2 linked regions of the Canis lupus familiaris genome follow. The protein of the gene in region 1 binds, or shares a complex with, the protein of each later gene. Links are inferred from orthologs where the notes say so. Each region holds a gene or a part of one and is shown in the gene's direction. Other genes may lie near its edges.

The links.
Region 2: the proteins of ATP6V1A (region 1) and ATP6V1D are in contact, whole or in part, in a cryo-EM structure (PDB 9B8P), measured with the Rattus norvegicus proteins. The link is inferred for Canis lupus familiaris from reciprocal best matches to the Homo sapiens genes ATP6V1A and ATP6V1D. Residues at the interface, in NP_001101788.1 of Rattus norvegicus: Ala366, Met368, Pro369, Ala370, Asp371, Ser372, Asp416, Ser418, Asp436, Lys438, Glu491, Gln494, Leu495, Val496; in NP_955418.1 of Rattus norvegicus: Lys4, Asp5, Arg6, Arg167, Ala171, Val175, Ile176, Arg179, Tyr186, Glu190, Arg194, Glu197, Tyr200, Arg201, Lys204, Ile205, Lys208.

Annotation. Positions count from the first base shown.
Region 1 is NC_049254.1:18,715,526-18,719,351, forward strand, and holds part of ATP6V1A (V-type proton ATPase catalytic subunit A), read left to right. Parts: intron 1-2,266; coding exon 2,267-2,395; intron 2,396-3,826. UniProt on the Homo sapiens protein: Catalytic subunit of the V1 complex of vacuolar(H+)-ATPase (V-ATPase), a multisubunit enzyme composed of a peripheral complex (V1) that hydrolyzes ATP and a membrane integral complex (V0) that translocates protons.
Region 2 is NC_049229.1:41,626,040-41,629,865, reverse strand, and holds part of ATP6V1D (V-type proton ATPase subunit D), read left to right. Parts: intron 1-1,584; coding exon 1,585-1,702; intron 1,703-3,826. UniProt on the Homo sapiens protein: Subunit of the V1 complex of vacuolar(H+)-ATPase (V-ATPase), a multisubunit enzyme composed of a peripheral complex (V1) that hydrolyzes ATP and a membrane integral complex (V0) that translocates protons.

The DNA of each region.
Region 1 (3,826 bases):
TGCATATATAAATCCTTCTGAACACTTATTTTAGATATCTCATAACTAGTTATATGTGGGTAAGAAGTTTTATGATGTGAGAATAATAGAAAGCAGTTAAAAACTTTGTTTATCCTGCCAAAACTTGCAGTACTGCATTTTAAATGATAAATCTCATTCTAGTATTCATTTTAATCTAACTGTAAAATATGATTTATAGTTTTCCATAGGTAAAATCTGCTCATTGATTTATAATCCTTAGGCCATGGATATTTTTCCTTATGTCTTTTTATAAACCTCATTCTATAGTCTTTTTTTGTTCTATTCACAGTAGTGGTGATGACCCTTTTTCAGTGTTTATGCAAATAAAGTCAGTCAGTCACAGTGTTTATTTTCTCCCTAAGAAGCTTCTACTGAAGCTTAGAACTTGGTGTTTGAGCTTGAACTTATTGGCAAAAATGCATCTCACTGTTTTCAATCTTTTTTGCCATTTGAGAAACAATTTTCCCCTTGATTGAAGCATCTTTAGGAAACACAGGCTACACTCAAGAATTTTTAGGGAAAAGACAAAGAATACCATCAAAAGAGTTTAGGTAAAAATGTTTCTTTGAAACTTGTAGTAAACTCCTAGAACTTATTATTCTTAAGTATTTAATATAAAATGATAGAGAAGTGGCATATTTTTAAGCTTCTGAAATATGGTTTTTAAAAAGATTTTATTTGGGATGAGCACTGGGTGTTACACTATATGTTGGCAAATCGAACTCCAATAAAAAAATACAAAAAAATAAAATAAAAAATAAAAGATTTTATTTATTTATTTAACAGAGAAAACACATAAGTAGGCAGAGCAGCAGGCAGAGGGAGAGGGAGGAAGTAGGCCCTCCACTGAGCAGAGAGCCGGATGCAGGAGTCAGTCCCAGGATCCTGGGATCATGACCTGAGCTAAAGGCAGACATTTAACCGACTGAGCCACCAAGGCAGCCCTGTGAAATATGATTTAAAATTTTAGAGACATCTGGGAGGCTCAGTCATGAGCGTTGAACTCTTGATTTGGGCTCAGGTCATGATCTCAGGGTTGTGAGATTGAGCCCTGAGTCAGTCTCCCTGTGGTGGGGAGCCTGCTTGAGATTCTCTCTCCCTCTCCCTCTGGCCCATCCCCCCTCTTAAAAAATAGTAAAATAAAATTTTAGTCATCTCTGACATTTCTGTGCATCTTAATTATTCTTATATGGTAGGTGTAGAGGTAAATATTTATGAAATTAACAAATCTTCATTGTCCTAACGCGTTAATTGAATATTAATACTTTAATGGTTTCTACTTGAATATTTTTAATATTCAGCCTTCTGATACATTTATTAGAACTATGTATTAGGTAATAGAGTTATTCCTACACATATCTGAAAATGTACAACTTTCCCTGCCTACCAGAAAAATAACTTTTACTTACTAGACAACATGATCTAAAATATAAAATAGTAAGTAAAAATTCTGGTTCAGAATTTATAAGAAATAAGAATTCTTAATCAGGACTTCACCCAGTGGTGATGACTGATTATAAACATCCTTATGAAAGGCTAAAAGGTCTATGAAAAAAAAATTTTAAGGTTTTATTTTTTAGGTAATCTCTACACCCAACTTGGGGCTTGATCTCACAACCCTGAGATCAGGAGTTGCATGCTCTACTGATTGAGCTAGACAAGGTGCCTCTGAAAAAAACTTTTGTAGATGCATATGTGAGTTTTTCTAGGTAGAGCTGTCATTAGTTTATCAAAGGGGTTCTTGTCCCAGAAGAGCTTTAAGAACCACCAATATGAAGTGTTAGAAGTCAAAGTAAAGATGTAATTTTAAATATTATTTCTCAAAGGAATGGTAACAACACAGCAAACTGATTCTGCCATGCTACTAGCTAAAGCTCTTGTTCCAATTTTAGTTTAAAAATGTTTTATGTTGTTCCTAAATCCCATCATTCCATGTAGTATAGCAACTTGAGTTGATCAAAATGTGCCTCAATGCTGCTAGGTAAGAATTTACTGTATAGAACTTAAGACTTTTTGAAAATAATTTTCATGTGTGTTATGTAAATGAATAAACTTTAGCCTAACAAATTTATTTTGTTTACCTCTGTATCAGATGCTAAAATTTATATTCTTATAAAACGATATATGTTTCATACATTTTTTCTTAAGAATATATGAGAAAGATGTATTATTGGATTAATTGGATATCTTAATTATCTCTATTCACGGAGTCTTAAGTTACTAAAAACTCATTTGTTCTTTTCAGTGGTTACAGCCTGTGACATGGCCGGTGCAGCCATGTATGAGCTGGTGAGAGTGGGCCACAGTGAGTTGGTTGGAGAGATTATCCGATTGGAGGGTGACATGGCAACTATCCAAGTGTATGAAGAAACTTGTATCCTTTTTGGTTCAATTTTTTGCCACTTTCTGCAAGTCAGAATTTAAGGATTTATGGCAAAGGTGGAAACAGCAACAACCAATAGTATCAAAAGCATGAAATGGTGTCATAAAGAAACCTGATTTATATAAGAATTTATTAAGGAAAGGTACTAGGAACTTATGATCATTTTTTAAGAAATTAGTATTATCTTCTGAACTCGTATTGCTCTTAATATTTTGGTAGTTCCCAAACTTTAGGGGAAACCAATTACAATTTTCTTGAGAGTGAACACATATTGTAAAGCATAAACAGAATGACGACATCGGTTTGAAGGGTTAAAATTCTCTGATCATGATTTCCATTTTAAATAGAAAATTCATAAATAAATGAGTCACTACTCTATCCTAATAAAATAATGTTGTATGTATGGCATGGTACATTATAGCTTTAGCACTAGGGAATCTTTACTACTTGTTTATCATACTTTTGTTTTAAGCATAGTATTTATTTTAAGTTTTCAATGAAAAAGAGATAATGTATTAGATTTTATGAAGAGGAACCACTTTTTTTTAACTTCACTTTTGTGTTTTACTTAAGTTATTCTCAAGATCAGCATTAAGTCTTATTTTTTTAAAATTTTTATTGAAGTATTGTTGACATACAATATTATGTTAGTTTCAGGTATATAACATAGGGATTTGACAATTATATACTTTATGAAATGCTTACCATAAGTGTAGTTATCCTCTGTTATCAAAGTTATTACAGTATTAATGACTATATTCCCCATGCTGTACCTTTTTATCCCCATGACTAATTTATTTTATAACTGAAAGTTTGTACCTCTTAATCTCCTTCACCTGTTTTGCCCATCTACCCAACCTTCTCCCCTCTGGTAACCACTAGATTGTTCTTTATATTTAATGAATTTGTTTCCTTGTTTGTCTGTTCATTTGTTTTCCAGATTACACACATAAGTGAAATTACATGGTATTTGTTTTTCTCGATCTGACTTAATATGGACCTTCTAGGTCCACCCATGTTGTCACAAATGGCAAGATTTCATCCTTTTTTTTAATGGCTGGGTCATACTCTATTGTGTAATATAACATGTATATATTGAAAACACAGTATATTCTATCTGTATACACATAACGGCCAGAATATTCTTTACGCACATGCACATGCCACATTGTCTTTATCCATTAATGTATCAGTGGACACTTAGGTTACTTACATATCTTGGCTATTGTAAATAATGCTGCTATAAATATACGGGCAGCATTAGTTATTTGGCTCATTAATTAAGATTTACTTTATACAACTTTTTTGCCATATTAAAATCCATTTTTTTCAGGTAACTTCTCTGTGTGAGTACTAGGGTGCTAAATCAAAGTAAAATCATCTGAAAATTTAAATAAAATTAGAAGTCTGTAGCTATAAAAT
Region 2 (3,826 bases), on another chromosome or scaffold:
TCAGTGCAAATTCAGCTACTGACAGTAGTTTTCAAAGAGGGAACTGTTCATCTGATGCTATTTATAAATAGGCAGTGTGGCATGTGGTTGGGATACAGTGGGCCTGGGTTTGAGCTTTAGTTTGAGTCTTGGGCAAGAAACTGGAGTCGGAAATCTGTTTCAGTCTAGTCATCATCATTGTCCCCATCCCGTCCCCCCTGTGACGGAAGAAAGTGTTTCATTTTTCTAAGCCTCATTTTCAAGATAATATTTGAAGCTTCTTTCAGCTATAGAATTGTCTGTGTAACCTTTTCCCTATGGAAAAAGATTTCAGTAAAATCTAGGAATTTACCCAAAGGTCCATTAATAAAATCTAGGAATTTACCCAAAGGTCCATTAATACATTAATACATGCTGTTTTGCGATAGATTATGGTACCAGTCATATGAAATTATATCCCCTTATACAAATACCTTAAGTATCTACATTATACAATTGATCGTTAAATCATCTTACCTACTTTTTTTTATTACTATGTTTTATCTGGCATATGGTAGTAAGAACAGAAATGTCAATTTCTGCTGTTACTTTCTTGACTTTGGTATTGGGGTTTCTGATGGGAAAAGTTTGGAATAAGGAGGTAAGGAGATTTCTGTAGTTTGTCACTACTCAAATATGTGTCATTGGTTCCTAGAGTCATTTACAAAGTAATAAAATTATTGGTGATAGGATATTGACTGGTGAGATGAAAACACTTTAAATGCCATACTTTTAATAGAAAAAGTAATTAATGGTTGTGGTATCTAATACAAAAGGTTCAAAAGATAATAAATATAGTAAAAAGTAAATAACATATTTTCACTCAATCCCATTTCTTAAAGGCAGCTGTTACCAGTTTCTGTGAATCTTTTCTAGAACTGTTCTTCGTATTTGTATAAGCATATTCATCCCTTTCTTTGCATAAGAGAATATAATATAGATTATATTGTTCTTTTAGCTTTCTCTTTTTTTTATGACTGCATATTATTTCATTGTATGATGAACCATGATTTATGGAACATTTAGCTTGTTGCCACCTTTTTGCAATTACAAGGGTGGAGTACTCATTCTTAACATTGTATATATTTTTGTGTACATACGAGAGTAGATCTGTAGGATAAATTTCGCATAGTGGAATTGTTAGTCCCGAAGGTAAGAGCATTTCAATTTTTGATATTAGTGGACAGATTTAAAAAAAATGCTTAATACAGCTGTAATGGAAATACAGATATAAAAAAAAAAAAGGAAATACAGATATAATTTGAACTTGCAAATCAAATATTTTAGCTATGGTGGTATAAAATAGGACCCCTAAGAAATTGTATTATGATTTAATGTTTTTCCAGATATTGATTAAAGAATTATTTCTGTTTTAAGTAAATGAACTTCTTATTTATGGAGCACTGAAGATGGAAATTTGCAGTGAGAAACTAATTTTGTCAGCACAAATGCTATATATTCTTATTTTCATGACATCAAAAAGTAAAGCATAACTTTAATACTTTATTGGGGAAGTATTTTTATGTTTTCTAAACAGTGGGAATAAATATTTTTAACTTTGTATAGGGCACAGACCATCATGAAGGCTCGATTAAAAGGAGCGCAAACGGGTCGAAACCTCCTGAAGAAAAAATCTGATGCCTTAACTCTTCGATTTCGACAGATCCTAAAGAAGATAATAGAGGTAGAATAAACTGTGTTTACAACAGTTGCTTATTTTAAAGATACCTAAGGAAAATCCAGCATGGCTTTTGGCATTTTAATTTTTCTTTAAGTTATTTTAATTAAAATTTTTTCCTCCAAAAGTAAAAATACTATTATGACTAACAAGCTTCAGATCATTTAATAAAATATGGACTCATTACCCTTGCCTGCAAAGCCCTACTTGATCCGATCTGGCCCCTGCCTGCCACTCTGATCTCATTTGGAGCGTTCTCCCTACCATTTTCTTTCCGAACCTTTTCATTAGTTATTTCTCCTGCCTGAAATGTTCTTTTCCAGGACTTCTTTTGACTTGCTCCTCTTGTCATTCTGGTCTCTTCAGAGAGGCCATTCCTGATCGCCCAACCTGAAGTGACCACTGTATTTACTTCTGTCACATATCTTTCTTTTTTTTTTGTCTTCTTTCTTTCTTTCTTTCTTTCTTTCTTTCTTTCTTTCTTTCTTTCTTTCTTTCTTCCTTCCTTCCTTCCTTCCTTCCTTCCTTCCTTCCTTCCTTCCTTCCTTCCTTCCTTCCTTCTTTTTCTTTTTCTTTTGATTTATTTATTTGTGAATGAGCGAGAAAGAGCAGGAGCATGCGCGGGGGTGGGGGTGGGGTCAGAGGCAGAGAGAGTCTTAAGCAGATTGCACTCAGCCCAGAGCTGGATGCAGGGTTCAGTCTCATGACCCTAGGTGAAACCAGTAGTCCAGTAGTCAGACACTTAACCAGTTGTGCCACCCAGGCTTCCCACATTTCCTTAGTTTTGTCATAGCACATACTACTGCATGTTTTCTTGTTTGATTGGTTGCCTCCACTAGAGAGTGTTAGTTCCATGAGAGCAGGGACTTAATCCTTTCAGCACTTAGTTCCTGTTCCCAGAACAGTGTTGGCACATAGTATGTTTCAACTCAGTACTTTTTTTTTTTTTTTAAGATTTTTTATTTATTTATTCATGAGAGACACAGAGAGAGAGAGAGAGAGAGGCAGAGACACAGGCAGAAGCAGGCTCCATGCAAGGAGCCTCATGTGGGACTCAATCCCGGGTCTCCAGGATCACACCCTGGGCTGCAGGTGGCACCAAACCGCTGCGCCACCGGGCTGCCCTCAACTCAGTACTTTTTAAGTAAATGATAGGTGAATACAGAAATACATTTAAAAAGTGAAGATCCCTTCTCACCCCCTACCCTTCTCTCATTTCCTAGAGATGTTCTCTGGAACACTTACAGTCTTTTTTTCATCATGGATGTTTTCAGTAACACACAGCTGTTATACATTATATAGTTCAGTTCTGCCTCTTCCCCCTGGCAGAGTATGGGTAGCTTTCTGCATCAGTACGTAGATCTGCCTCTTTCTTTATGATAGCTGCATGGAACACCATTGAATGGATAATGGGATTTAACCATTTTTCTGTTGATGGATGTTTGGTTTTACTATTTAGTGGGTGAGGGTACTTTTAATCTTCATGTATAGGTGAGTACTGACGACACGGACTCCATCTTTGGCCCTCCATCTTGTTCATGGCTGCGCTGTGACCTTCCTCAGGGCTCTGTGTTATAGGCTCCATGGAGGTTTAATGTGTGCCCTGACCAGAATGTAGGGAGGCATTGTTCTGATCCTCTCTAGAGTGGTGCGCAAGTAACTCAGGTGGGTGGCTGGCTCGCAGGAGGCCCCACTTGAGGTAACTAGGGGGGGTGGCTGGCCTGCAGGAGGTGCCACTGGAGGTAACTGATCAGAGTGGCTGGCCTGCAGGAGGCACCACTTGAGGTAGCTTTACTGTGACAGTCACACTATGCCCCTCCCTCTATAAAAGCAGGGGATTATGGGCCAGGTTTGGTGGAAGAGTAGTCTCTTGGGTGATTAGCTGGTCCAGTGCCTCCTGTGGGTAGGTTATCCTGAGTAAAATGGTGTAAATGGTTCTGGAAGACTCGTGATGTTTTTTATTCTCAGGGTGCCTTCTGAGTCTGGGGGATACTTGGCTGGCCCTTCTCCACCTTCTAAGAGGCAGCAAGCCAACCTGGAGATGAAATGAAGCCATCCAGGCCAGGCAAGGGAAGCCCAAGCTGGTGGCCACCACAGTGTGGGGAGAGGTGGCCTGGCCTACGAGTGTGG